3 separate regions of the Mus musculus genome follow, and all the other regions are reported to be linked to region 1. Evidence: microRNA targets listed by miRTarBase, many of them from high-throughput screens and not tested one by one. Region 1 holds a microRNA gene; each other region holds the end of a gene's coding sequence.
The links. Region 1 holds the annotated microRNA mmu-miR-340-5p (UUAUAAAGCAAUGAGACUGAUU, at 1,295-1,316, shown strand). A microRNA usually pairs through its seed, bases 2 to 8, with sites in the 3' UTR of a target mRNA and lowers its output. Matches are read on the target gene's strand: a 7mer-m8 pairs with bases 2 to 8, a 7mer-A1 pairs with bases 2 to 7 and ends in A, and an 8mer does both.

Region 2: the mRNA of Cntn3 is a reported target of mmu-miR-340-5p. Seed matches in the 3' UTR shown: 7mer-A1 at 1,110-1,116, 7mer-A1 at 1,584-1,590 and 7mer-A1 at 2,419-2,425.
Region 3: miRTarBase lists Snapc1 as a target of mmu-miR-340-5p. The part of its 3' UTR that is shown has no 7-base or 8-base seed match.

The regions. Positions count from the first base shown.
Region 1 is chr11:50,068,426-50,071,425 of GRCm38, forward strand. It overlaps Mir340 (microRNA 340), which reads left to right and starts at 1,277; the gene lies at 1,277-1,374. Rnf130 (ring finger protein 130) reads left to right here. Exons shown (of 9, transcript NM_021540.4): 3 at 2,746-2,996.
Region 2 is chr6:102,159,993-102,165,736 of GRCm38, reverse strand. Cntn3 (contactin 3) reads left to right here. Exons shown (of 22, transcript NM_008779.2): 22 at 319-2,431. The coding sequence ends at 419. Among named protein-coding and RNA genes, the nearest start is that of 4930587E11Rik, 100 kb to the left of the region's middle.
Region 3 is chr12:73,983,575-73,989,318 of GRCm38, reverse strand. It overlaps Snapc1 (small nuclear RNA activating complex, polypeptide 1), which reads right to left. Exons shown (of 10, transcript NM_178392.5): 10 at 353-5,456. The coding sequence ends at 5,422. Among named protein-coding and RNA genes, the nearest start is that of Syt16, 11 kb to the left of the region's middle.

The sequences.
Region 1 (3,000 bases):
TCAGAGGTTTCCAGGGCATTCTTCTGCTCATGGAGAGAACCTGAGTTCAATTCCCAGCACCCACAACAGGTCTCTCACAACTGCCCGTATCCCCCCTTCCAGGGGGTCTGTGACTCCTGGTCTCCACAGGCAACTATAACTTGCATGCACAAAGCTACACACATAAACACATAATTGAAATTAACAGTGTTTTTAAAAAGGTGTGAGTTCTTGGCATCCAGTTCCTACCTACAGTTTGCTGCCATTCTTCCCCACCATGATGGAACTATAAGCCAAACAAGCCCCTCCTTGTATACGTTATGTTGGCTATGATGTTTAACCACAGCAGTAGAAAAGGAACACATAGCTGCATGATTGTTGAACTCCAAAGCCATGTCTTGGTGTTTCAGAACACAGGCATAGGGGTGATCTGGTCACATTCTTTGTATCTGTTTAATGTTTCCATTACTTCAGTCTAATTAACCCCTCTCTCCTACCAGCTACTGCTACTCTAATCCTAGTTTTATCCTGAGGGTTAAGTTTCCTCTGTTGTCATCATCCCTCCTGAATCTGCACCAACTCTCCCAAGAGTTTTTTGTTTTGTTTTTAAGGTTTATTTACTTTTTTATTGTGTGTGTGTGTGTGTGTGTGTGTGTGTGTATACCTGCATGAGTCTATGTGCACCATGTGTACAGAGCCCTCGAAGGCCAGAAGAGAGTGTCTGTTCCCTCTAGAATTGGAGTTACAGTAGTTATGAGCTGCCATATTGATGCTGGGAACCAAACCTCGTCCTCTGCAAGATCAACCAGTGCTCTTAGCCATCTCTTTAGTCCCATCCCCATTTGTAAATGTCTGAGCCATCTTGTTAGGCTCTTTGAACCCAGCCCAGCTCTAGATGTTGGGGAGAAAGAAACTTTTTTCCTAGGAGGGTTTGTAGTTTGCTTCATCACCTTCTGTAAGAGATCACTGCCTTCACTAATATCAGATGTGCTGCTGTACTTTTTTATTTGATCATTTTCAGTCTCCTTTGGCAACATTGCCCAGTCTCCTCTTTTTGCTAGGATGATAAAGCTACAGTGAGATCTATTCACTCTTGTCCTCCTAACAGTGAATATTGACAAGTGTTGAACTAATTAAATTTTTCTTTCCCAAACAGCTTCCTGTTGAGATTAGTTGACGCGCCCATTTAGTGTTCGGTTAAGGAAATTACTGGATTGGTTGCCTTGGCTACCTGTGCAGCTCTCCCCACTTCCAGCTTGAGTCTTCAAGAGGGAGCCTCAGAACTGATTTCTAAAACCAATTGTACTTGGTGTGATTATAAAGCAATGAGACTGATTGTCATATGTCGTTTGTGGGATCCGTCTCAGTTACTTTATAGCCATACCTGGTATCTTAACACCACAGATCATGCCTGTTGATCAACATTGTAAAAGCACAAACTTAAGGTTTCTAAATGGAAATTTAAACTGGTTTAGCATTCTTTTATGATTCTTTTTAACTCACTCACCAGAGGCAGATGTTAACTTAATAATGCTAGTTTTAATTTTGTTGTCTCCTTTTTGTTTATAGATTTTTTAAGCAAAAATAAACTGGTAAACTACTACTCTAATAAAGTGAATAAACCGTTTTGAATACAGTATTATGCAAATATATATTCCATTGAGCTATATTTTTTTCAAAACTTCTGTTACTGAGTTTCTGTTGTGTCTCATCTTGACTGCTAAAGGTAACAAGAAATCAAAACAAGTGTTTCTAATATTTGTTGACAGAGCCTTCAAAAGGTCAGGTCTGGGGTCTCTGCTTGCTGTTTTGAGAGGGTATTTTGTGTTTGGATGCACAATCCTCCTTCATACTCACAAAAGTGACCTTGGTGAGTAGCTGCTCACTCTGACTTAAAACAGGCCCTTGAAGCCATGTGAGAAAAGGACTTGAAAACACAACTGAACCATCCTTGTAATTAACTTATAAAAGTTGTGCCTGTGGGCAGAACTCTGAACAGCTTTTAGGAACTGAAGGTTTTAGGTATCATTATGGGTAGTAGTCCAGAAAGTTGAAACTTGGGCCTGCCTAGAGGATTTGAGTGCGCTGGGCATGGTTAAACAAGGTGGAAAACTAACATAAAACTCAAGTCTGAGGCTAGCCGAGGCAATGTGAGATGCTGGCTCCAAACTGGGTGGGAAAATTGTTGCGTTTGAGCTCCAGAAGTGCCCTGGAAGGAGCTTTACTGTAGACAGAAGACCAAAGTTAGTTTCAAAGGTTGTTGGTAAAAGATGTTGCCGTTCGGCACTTGTCACTCCATAGCCAAGTGTGTGCCCTAAGAAGTACCCTTCTTTCTGTTTCTTAGAGCAGTCCTTGCTCAGCAGTGCGTGTGAGGATGAGTAGTGCAAGGACCACCTGTTCAGACTGTAAATGACAGTGCTTCTCTGTCAGAACTTTCCAGATTGATTGCTATAGAAAGGTTTTCTACTGAAGACTTAACCTGATTTAGTCACAGGTGGCTGCTTTCACAGTGCTTCTAATGCACCGGTAAGGCAGTTTGTGCATTGTTAACACCACAGTTGCTTTATGCGTTACCTGTTTGGAGCACTGTACATGTTCTCATGCCTGTCAGTTTACACAGCTGCAGCCTCATGTCAGTTGAACTGGAATCTATAAACCTTAGTGAAAATTATGGTAATTTCTCTATGGAGCATATGTGTATATTTATTTGATGTGTCTATGAATTTCAGATGTCACTTTAGTCTGTGTATTTGTTTTACATTACAGGCACGGGAGATATTATTGCTGTCATGATAACAGAATTGAGGGGTAAGGATATTTTGAGTTATCTGGAGAAAAACATCTCTGTACAAATGACAATAGCTGTTGGAACTCGAATGCCGCCAAAGAACTTCAGCCGTGGCTCTCTAGTCTTCGTGTCAATCTCCTTTATTGTTTTGATGATTATTTCTTCAGCGTGGCTCATATTCTACTTCATTCAGAAGATCAGGTACACAAATGCTCGGGACAGGAACCAGGTGA
Region 2 (5,744 bases), not on the chromosome of region 1:
GCTGATGCTTAAAATTCTTCAGTTACCTGGGAAACAGAGGGAGAGGTCCAGAGCCTTAAAGACCTTCAAGGCTGTTGCTGCTGCTGTTTTTGTTGTTGTTGTTGCTGCTGCTGCTGCTCCTCCTCCTCTTCTTCCTCCTCCTCCTCTTCCTCCTCCTCCTCCTACTACTACTACTACTACTACTACTACTACTTCTAGCATGAATATCATTACAACTGAAAACAGGATTTCAGCATAAGTTTAGAGGGAACAGAAACATTCAGTCTCCAGTGTTCTGATTACCACCCTTGCTAATGAGCCCTTTATCATCTTTGACAGGTATGGATGCAAGAGGATCCACGTCAGCCATTTCTAACATCCACCCTTTGTCAGGTTATATGTCTGTCCTACTGTTCTTTATTGTAAATGCTTTGTGGTGATAGGGCTTTTTTTTTATTATTTCCTGGAAAGTTAATTGGTTACCCCCATAAAAAAAGTGCTTTCTGAAACAGTGATTATGCATGTTGTTTTCAGCTATGTGTTTTTAAATTTCTACTTCATTATAGGTAAAATATGAATCTAATAAAAACAGTAAATCCTTTTAGAGGAATCTGAGATGCCTTAATATTTGCTTGGTAAACCAAAGGAACTTGCAAATTACATACTGCAAACTTTTGATAGAAATATTCTTATGTTATGAGTTTAAACACTTTCCTATGTGTGAGGCACATACACAGGATGCATAAAAACACAGTGCACACATGATGTATGGAGACACATAGTACATACACGGTACACACAGCACACACAATGCACAAACACACACACACACACACACACACACACACACACACACACACACACAGAGTTTTTCTATACTAAAATATTTCTCATTTATTCCAAATGTTCCTTTCCCATTGTTACAATATTACCTATCATTTCTAAATACTAATTTGACTCCTCAGAGGAAAATGCACTTAAACAGTTATTCTGGACTGGAGCAGCCTGGAAGGGCGTATTGTCAGAAAATGATACTCTGAGCTTGGGGAAGTGACATTTGCTTCAATGTGCTACTGTATGGCTGCGAGATTCCCTTTGTCACTTCATCCTCTCATCTTTCACTTATTTATTTTATAAAATGAGGTGACAATATTTCTCCTATCAGCCTTTACTGCAAGAATCCGTTGTTTAAAACAAAGGAAGTAATGGGAAAGCATTGTTTCCTCCAATGTGCAATGTCCCTGTGCAGAATCTTACATGAAGCTACTAAGGTGACACAGAACAGGCACTTCTTTGAAGCTTGCTGGCATTGCATGCTCTTCTTAGAATTATCCCTCTTCTTCAAAGATGGAAATTGAACCTGAGTGAAGATTGTAACATTGTTTCTTTTTGTTGGTATTTACAAAGAAAAAGATGGAACATGGAAATGAATACATTTTATCCTTCCTTAAAAATTAAAGTGAACTTACTTGGGAAAGAGAATTAGGACTCATCCCCTTCCCATGTAAAAATAAGCTTTCAGGTTTTGTCAAATCCCAGTAGAGAAAATAATGAAAAAGCTGTATCTTAACCCAAATATAAAACAAAATGCATATAATTCTTCATTTATAATTTCTGATCCTATTAAGGGACTCTCTCTTGGTTTGGATGGCAGAGATGGATTTTTAATGGAATTCCACTCTCTATCTCATCGAGCCAGGCAGCCTTTTCCATTCCCAAGTAAAATTTGTAAAAGAACATGGTGATGTTGCTGGCTTTGATATGGATGAGTCGAGTCTTTCAATATGTGATTTTCAAAGGACTGTGGAAGACATGGCTTGGCAGTAACATGTAGAAGGTATATGAAAAATAGCAGATTGAGTGCTAGAATTTTTTACCACTTACCTACTATTTTCGCATTTTGCTGGGATTTTTTTCTTATTACCAAAGGTAGCAAAATTGGAAATCGATGGTATAGCTCTCAAGCAACATTAAACCTTAGCCAAATGCTGATACCTTTCTAGTGTCCCACCCTTCTTTAGAGATTCCATTTAAGACAAGGTTGCTATGTAAAAAGAAGAATGGGGTTTTTTTTTAAGTTTTTCTGTAGGGTCTGTATATATTGTACATATCAAGAAGAAATCCGAATGACTAGTGGATTTCCTATGACCATTGTTATTTCCAGTCAAAATGTGGGGTCACACTTTCTCCAACCCCTGTGCTTTATGGTACACATAACAGAACTATACCTTTTTTATTTTCTGATGACTCCAAGAATTTGTTCCTATAGTTTTCTTTTACAAGATGGCTATTCTCTTGTTTCCTGTTATTTCTATCAGTATCATCTCCATGAGATGTACACACTGTTTCATATTGAAAAGTCTAAATTTTACTGTTTAAATTCCTGTGTGTGTATCCTATGGTTATCTGTATGTATGATTTTCTATTATTCTAATAAAATTTATAATAATCAAATTGTTCTACATTGTTTATTGTGGTTTGGTGGAGGGATATATCCACATTGGGGAGTGGGGGCATGCCATTAGAGCGACACTGTTCTTACCATTCCTCACACTTTTCAGCCTACATTTGACTTTGCATCTTTTAGACGAATATTTTAATATTTTTGTTTATGCTCTTCTAAGTCAGTAAAACCTGTAATTTGATACAATGTCTTCTACATTCAGCATATCTCCTATGTTCATCAAAGGGCTTGATAGAAAAATTTAAAAATATCTAAAATCAAAAATATCTAATATCTAATAGACTTATGATGCCTAATTTCTCCTCGCTTGATTTTGTCATTAGTAGAATCTCACACAGTTTTGACAAAAGTGGTTTTTTGTTTGTTTGTTTTTTGTTTTGTTGTCATTGTTGTTGTTTTTGTTTGGTTGTTTTTTTTAAAACAGTTTCAATATACCACATTCTACATAGATTTTTCTCTTTGGTGTCAGAGGTAGACATTGCTTAAAACGATCGCTGTGATATAGTACACTCTAAATATCTGTAAACTTACTAATGATTCCTTTTTTTAATTTGTAAACAATTTCAGAAGTTAATGTTAGTCTAAGGGAAATGAGAACAAAAATACTCCAGTCATCTTTTCACAGTAGGCATGGCGTTTATAGAAGAATTAAAGGAAAAACTCTGTAGTCTCTCTCTCTCTCTCTCTCTCTCTCTCTCTCTCTCTCTCTCTCTCTCACATCTCTCATCTCTCCTCTTTCTGCATCTTGTGTGTGTGTGTGTGTGTGTGTGTGTGTGTGTGTGTGTGTGTTGTGTTGTGTTTCATGGTTGTCTGTATGATATGTGGGGTGTGGGCAGTTAAATTGAGATGGTTGTATTAGTATCTTCTAATAAAAGGCAAATACTTTGGGAGTGTACCGATCGAGAGCATACATAAATCAGTCCTTATTCCTGGTGCTGGCGGGATGGAAGAACGAGGGACCAGCTTTACGTGATACCTCTGCCAACATCAGGACACCCTCACTAACTGCCGGTCATGGTCTCTTGCTCCAGTTCCAAAGCTTCAGATTCCCTTTCTGAGGAATGCAAGTATGGTAGGATTCCCCTCATTGAGGTTTTTCTTTGACAACTACTGAGCCCCTTGGCGCAGAATGAGGACACTCTGTCCAACGACCTGAAGCTGTAGATACTACCCACTTATGAGAAAGGATATTAGTAAGGTAAATGGTGTGTGTAAGTCTTATAGAGTCCTACTGTCATCATCCCTTTAGGTAGGAAAGAAACCCTGGAGAACAAAAGAGCTCCCCTGGAAGGTAGTTTTATGTCTCTCTTAATTTCATTGTACTGAGACCACGCTGTATGATTCTCAGAGCTTTAGAAGAAAAGCGACTCTGGAATTCAGTTAGTCTAAGCAGATCTGTAACACTGTCCATGTTCAAAGTTACTCACTTACTCTCTGTGACTTACTGAGTTAACTAACCCCTACATCTCTTTAGTCAGGTTCCATGGATCCCATTTCACAGATGATGAACAGTTAGCAACTTATACAAGGTCATCCTATGACAAGCACAAGAAAATTCAACTCAAGGTAGTTCAGCTTCAGCCCTTGAACATTGAGTGAGGTGAATATCTTTGTCTCTCTTAACATTAAATACATCAGGCCGGAAGGTTCTGAGCAGCTTGGGTTTGACTTCAGAGTAGACTTCGTGCCTCCTTTATTAAGCACATGATCGGGGAACCTAAAGATTCTTAATTAATTTTCATAATACTTTTTCTTTAAAACTTTTGAAGATGGCATGAGTTGTTTTTTCAATCATCTCTGTCATGTTCAGTGCAACCCAACCAGCTTAACTAAGTAGGATGAAGCAAATGTGACGGGAGGAGAATGTTACAGACTCCTCTATTCCAATTAAAATCCCTCCTGCTGGTTCACATTCACACAATGCCAGCTTTTTTTAAATTTAAAATTAATCTTAATTGGGTTCAATTTTTTTCAAAAGCATTTTACCCTTTTTAAAAATGAGAAAAGATGCATGGGTGTTCAGTGTAATTTGGATATACTTCGGTAAATATTGGAAGCAAAAACAACCCAAAACAGTAATTATGAAATCAGCAATTAGTAAACTCTGCCATTCTTTTGAAAGAAAATATGTAAACAGATTGAACTGCGGTGCATTTCAGTCATTAGGTATTTTATTGTTGTTGTTTTTATTGAGGCATGTACCCTAATTTCATGTGCCTTGCTTTACATGCAGGCAATAATTACGTCCTAGACTTCACAGAGAATCCATACACTGATAAGAAAATTAAGCTTGCAAAGGATGAACTCTTCCTTATTTACTTGCCTTTATTCTCATCTTGTTGATTCCTACTTTACCCTTTGAAATGATCTTAGCTCCTTGTGGTCCTACCTTGATCATCAATACTGTGGGGAAGAGAGAGAATCAGGCCCTGTGTAATTGAATATTACCTGAGGAAACACAGAAAAGGCAGTAACAAATGATAAGGCTAGCAAATGAGCACATCTACTCTGGCCTCGGACAGTAGAAATTGACAGACACAAAGCTCTGTAAGATGTACCTCTGTGCCTGGCTAATGAGGACCTGAAATGTCCCTGTCAGGGGGATTCTTGCATCAGCATTTGCAAGTTTCCAGTGTCCTCATGGGGGAGTTTTTGCCAGGTTGAGGTTTAAAGATAACAAAGAATGGCCATTGGGATGTTAATCTCTGTGTAACACTGTCCTCATGTGGGATTCCTCTTTCCACATTCATTACCAGCTGGATGAAATAACCAGCCAGTTCTCACCATTTTTACTTTCCCTCTCCTATTTTACTTCATTAATTTCCCCCCTACATTGATTGCTCCTGCCAATGGTAAGTTATGACCGTTAGGAAAATAGGAGGTGTTGTACAATGTATATGAAACAGTTCATAGCGGCAGACATATATTAAAAAGTTAATAAATCTGGGAAGAAAGTTGACTCAGAGACTGAGAGCATTCGAGACAGAATCTGACTTGAATCCCAACTGTGTCCCTAAAATCTATCTGGGCCTTGGCATATAAGTTAATTTTCCCAAATATCTAAAAATTATACACACACACACACACACACACACACTGTACCTACAGAATGTGACTGCAGGACCCTTTTATCAGACTATGTCTCACGGTTTCTCAAGAACAATGTCTAGCAAATCACTAATCTTCATTGTTTTATTATTAGGCTTTAGAATCTAGCTCATTCTTTAAGGGTCAGCCAGTAGATCCACACCAGAATAAAATGGAACAAGGATTGTGGGGCAATGGCTACTCAGTGTCAGGT
Region 3 (5,744 bases), not on the chromosome of region 1:
AGGGGAGGAAGGAGAGACAGACAGACAGACAGACAGACAGACAGACAGACAGAGACAAGACTAGACTGACTGACTTTAGAGGTGCCAAAACAATAGAATCTCTGGTGTACAGCAAACACAGACTTCAAGTCTTTCTAACGGGAAGCATCAAATAAGGCCCCACCCATTCAGGTCCAGGGATGAGGACTACACACAGACCAACAAGGCTGACTTGCTGAAGTTCAGCTATTGCAAAGATCAGACAGGGGATGTAAAATACCTCTGCTTGAATCTTTTAATGAAATACAGAAAATGATCACAGAACACTATCAAAGATATCTCATTAATAAAGCTCTCAAAAATAAAAACAAAATTTTAAATATAAATTAAATTTTAATTTTATATTTTACATTAACATATAAAATACATAAAATATAAATTTAAAACTAAGTGGCTAGAACTATGACCCTGCTGGACCTAGACCCTCCCTCTGGTGCCACAAGTTCTGGGCTCGACAAGGTCTTACAGGAAGCCCACACCTGCCCTGTCTCATTTCCTGTAGCCATCCAGCCAGCACAATTGGTTAGAATCCTCTGCTCACTTTATTAATGTTAATATCAGGGAAAAAATAAATCCACCAAAGAATAAAACAAAATGAAATTCTGTAATACAGCCCCAAGGAGACAGTCTACACTCCCATTTCCTCTCCAAAGCAATTAAATCCTAATTACACAGACCCAGAAACATTACAGAGACATTTGTTCTAGCGCTGTAGACTGCAGTCGTGGGAATAAATCATATTTGTAAATCTAAGAAAGCACATGGAAAAAAATAATAAGAGTTATTCACTGGTAGCACATACATATAGATCACTTCGCTGGTAATAAAAGGTTTTGTTACACACTGAAGACAAATGAAATCTTTTGATTGGTTCCTATCAAATTGCAAACAAGATGATTTTCTAGATATACCGTGTTTTTTAAAAGACAGGGTATTTCATTTTTTAATACAATACACAAAGTATCTTCTTGCACTGTTAGTGGAAGGAAACAGTTGAAGTTTACAAAGACCGTAAGCTCAGCTAACTATGCTTTATGGTTTTAAAACATTCACTGGTGAAGCCCTTGCCAGCCTAACGATGCTACCAAGGGATGCTATGCACCAACCACATTGCAGGAAACTAAGACAAACCAGCCACCTAAAGCCTTTAACAAACGGTTAGCAACTGCTGAAGCTCTAGCAAAATCACATCACTTAAAATTACATTTACATAAACAACTCCGGTTCATCGCCTTCTCTCAAAGGCTGAGGCTAACATGATACTCTAATTCTCTGGTAACAAGGCTTCCCAGTTTGCTTCTACCACTGCAATAATGATCATGATCAAAAGCAACCTGGAAGAAAGGGTTTATGTCATCTTATGAACTAGTTTTCTTTCTCTGATTATCAGCTGGGTTGGAAATCTCTGAAAAGAGCCACCAGCAACACCACCCCAAACCTGAGTATAAATTCCCCTCATCTCTCTGGCATCACACAGTGAGTCTAGGGCTAATAAGTGGCTGACATCACAAAGTACCAAGCAGAGTTTTCGGCAGCTTCAGACTCACGAGGCTCCTGCGTAGAAAGTTCAAATCCTGCTAGGATATATTCATGTAACAAATACTCTGCGTTCCAGTAAAAGTGCCATATTTTTAAAAAGTGACAACGGAGTGTGGTGGCACACACCTTTAATCCCAGAGCTGGACACAGGTGGATCTCTGTTTCAGGATAGCCTGGTCTACCCAGCAAGTTCCAGAACAGCAGTTTTTTTTTAGACAGACAGACAGACAGACAGACAGAGGGACCCTGTCTCAACCCCCACCCCACCAACTACATAAAGACAAATGGTTAGAGAAGGTGACAAAGGAACTATTTCAATGAAGATGGAAAGGACAAGGAGAAATCAGAACCAACAATCGGTGCTTCCAGATGAAAAGTCATCGGAGAAAATCAAGAGCAGATTGGATACAAGAGAAGAAAAGATGGTGAACTTGAAATCAAAAGGCACTCTGAGGCAATGGAAGAAGTATTATTGGAGAAAACAAAATACAACCCAAGAGAGAGTACAAAGTAATTAGCAAACAAGGCTCAAGTCCCAGAGAGAGAAGCAAGTGAGGAGAGTGCAGAATGCATCATGGGTTAGAAAAGCCAACCACACCAGACCTGTATCAGACTGAATAACAAACAACAAAGCCTGCAGGCAGCCAGGGAGGGCCTGGAGGAACTTCTGGTAGAGCGTGTGGTTAGTATATGAAGGCCATGGGTCCCACCATCAAATAGACAGACAGACAGACAGACAGACAGACAGACAGACAGACAAAAATATAACACAAAGAAAAAAAGATTGAGGTACACGAGGGACTGGAGGAACAAATTCTAATTTCCTGCCAGAGACAAAGCAGGCTGATGATGATGGAGTGAAAAAAGTCTTGCAAGTGTTGACAGAAAGGGGGAAAGAGCTGAAACAACTAGAATTCTACATCTTGCAAAAACAATTTCATTCAGAAATGAAGATATTTTTTCAGACAAACAAAATATGATAGAACTGGTCTGCAACCGTGCTGATATATATATAAATAAATCAGTATTAATTTCTTCAGACTGAAAACGAACCATCCGAGATCTACTCCCAACGGCTTTCCCAGAGGAATAAAGAGCAGTGGGTTCGATTTACGGGAGTAAACACAGGACTGTTGCTAGGTGGCAGTCTGTAGTCCCACCTACTTGGGAAAGTGAGACAGGAGGATAGAAGGTTCAAGCCGTGCCTGGGCTACACAGTGAATCCCAAGTCCAGCATGGGCAACTTGCCAACTGTAACAAAGGACTGGGTGTAAAACATTCACTGGTGAAGCCTCTGCCAGTCTATTAATGTGTTACAGTATATGCAGCCCCAAATTATTACAGATGGCATAAATTATTAAATGCCAGAGCAAACCCAGCCTGCCCCAGAGCTGAGGTCCTTCACCACTGTGCAGTGACTTACCTGTGAAGGGAATAGCGTGTCCCTTTAACTACATCCTGAAGGTGCAAGGCTGACACTGCATTTTGTCAAACCACGACTACACTGAGAAACCCGTGAGACTGTAAAGGCCTGACCTTTCTCACCTTTGCTGAGGAAAGCTGCCACAGATGGGTCCTTCTCTGTCATCTGCCATGCCCTCTGGTACATGGGACACAACTGATTTGGATCTCCACCCTAGCTAAGAGCATCATTTGGTGTTAAGAGAGGCCTATAGCTAATTCCCAAACCCTTGAGGAAGCTGTCTTTGATGAGTGCCTTACTTATTTAACCATAATCTTCCAGTAAGCTCCCAGCATTTACGATAGTGGGAGTATGCTTTTGTTTCTTGCAACTGAAAGGAGCCTGCTTGAATGTCTCTTAAAAATTCAGACCTGTAATACACAGCACAGTAGAATGAATAATTCAGACATTTAAAAATATCACATAAAAGGGATTATACAACCTCAAGTCTGGGCTTTGACATTTATATTAACACAGAGAATAAGAAAAATGTGCAATGAAAATTACTACATAGTCGCTCAAAAGATAAATGAAAATGTGAATAGTTTTAACACCCACAGAGTTCTTTCTAAGCCATTTAAAAAGTAAGCCTTCTTCAAACTGTAATTTAATTCAAGAATGAAGGGTAAGGAAGGCATTAGTAACTACAGTTATTTTCCAAAGCTAACCTGAGAAAAATAAAAGTAACTTTCAGTGCAAAGTTTGTTTTTAAGGTATTTTCTCAAGACATAGGTAGACACGTAAGTAGACAGATAAACAGACAGAGGTACCAGTCTTTCACTATACCCAAGGTAGTCTGAGAAGATGGTATTCATTATACCTAATTAAAATTGACACAAGGTAATGAGGGTTCCCTTCAGCTGTGGAGTGAACCACAGGTTAGCCTGATCAACTCAGGGAGCTGGGCAAACACAAACTTTCGGTTACTATGACAACACTGTTTGCTACTCACCATCCCTTTGTCTGTGAAATGACACCATGGTCTTTTATAAGCGCTTTGTGAAAAATAGATTACGACTCAGGTACATAGCGTTTCAGCTGTACAATGCTAATCCACTCAGCTACATATTACTAACCAAGCTCTGGTGTTGCAGCCCAGCAGCTCTGGCCCATGTTCACACTGTAATGTCCAACCCATTATCGGACAGAGCTGAAGTCAGACACAGGAAACAACTGCTTTTTAGTAGCTAACAGGATAACGATGTCAAGTATTATCCAAGCCAACATCAGTATTTTGGTCTTAACATATTACATACCTAAGATATACATTTTCAATCATATCAGACTTGGAAATTACCTCTTCAAGCCAGCCTTTGAGCCTTAATAATTAACTATATGTCAGGCTGCATTAGCCTCACAACACAGAGGCCGTGTGTTGGCAGCTTTCAAGCACAGCTAAAGCCATCTCCACTTAAAACTCCAGGGGTGTGAAATTAAAACAGCAGCACACACGTGACTAGAGACATCTTTTCTGTGATTTACAAAAGTTCTGTGTCAAAGACACGTTTCAGAATCTACATGACTGCTCCTATGGGCCTATTAGACAGTACATAAGCATTAAACAGTGTATTAATTAATCTTATGTGTAGACAAGGACACACACACAGGTACCTATGCATTCATATACAGTAGACCAATGGGAACTTTAAAGCAAATACTACAGAGGGTAAGGAGTGAGGCCCGGCGGTGCATTATCTATAATCCCAGCAGTGGGGAGGCCGAGCAAGGCAGTACTCGCATGGAGAGTTCAAGGCCAGCCTAGCATACACAGGCAGACCCTGTCCAAATCAATGAGGAAGTAAGGGTACATCGTAAGCACGAAGGCAGCCGTAACTTACTAAGGTATCAGTCAAGTTATTGGCCATGAAAATTTCACACACTAGAAGATAAAACAAGGGGGCAAAATTTTTATTGCACTTAACCATAACACACAAAATATTCAACAAAAACCCCAGCCAAATCCGTTGCTAGGTGACAGGTATGAATCATTTATATATAAATGCATTAGTACAGCACAAAAACTTTCAGGAAAGAGTACTAACTCACAAATATGTAATTCTTTCTATTACATTCTGAAGGCAATAGAAACTCTATCTCCACTCATACAGACCCCTAACAAGTCTAACAAGTTTAACACATTTACAATCTATTCTGTAACAAACTACAATGTAATTTGTTAAAATTGCAATATTAACAAAAATGTTAAAATTAATCTTCAGAGTAAACCTTTACTCAACTCTTGGCCTATGGCATGCTCTTCCATCTCACAGAAATGAGCTTGTTCTCAGATCCAGTCTTCACTGGCTACTTCCTGCTTAGAACACATGACACCTTTCTTCTGTTGGAAAGCTCAAAATTTAAAACTCCACCAGCCTCCCGGTTCAGCATTTTCTCTTCCTCTTGGGCGCAGTGAACTCTGTGGATACAAGGTTAAGAACTCCATGGATTAAAATACTGACATCTAAATGAAAGGTTTATATAATAATACACATTTTACCTGCATATATTTAAAACAGACTAACCCAACCAATAATGTCCCACAGCCAAGACCCAAGAAGGAAACAGGTAGATAAATAATGCGCACTCACACACGCACGCACACACACACACACCACGCACACACAGACATTAAAATGCATAATATATATTAAAATGTAAAGATACATATATAATAAAAGCTACAACATGGTTCAGGTTGGGCTAG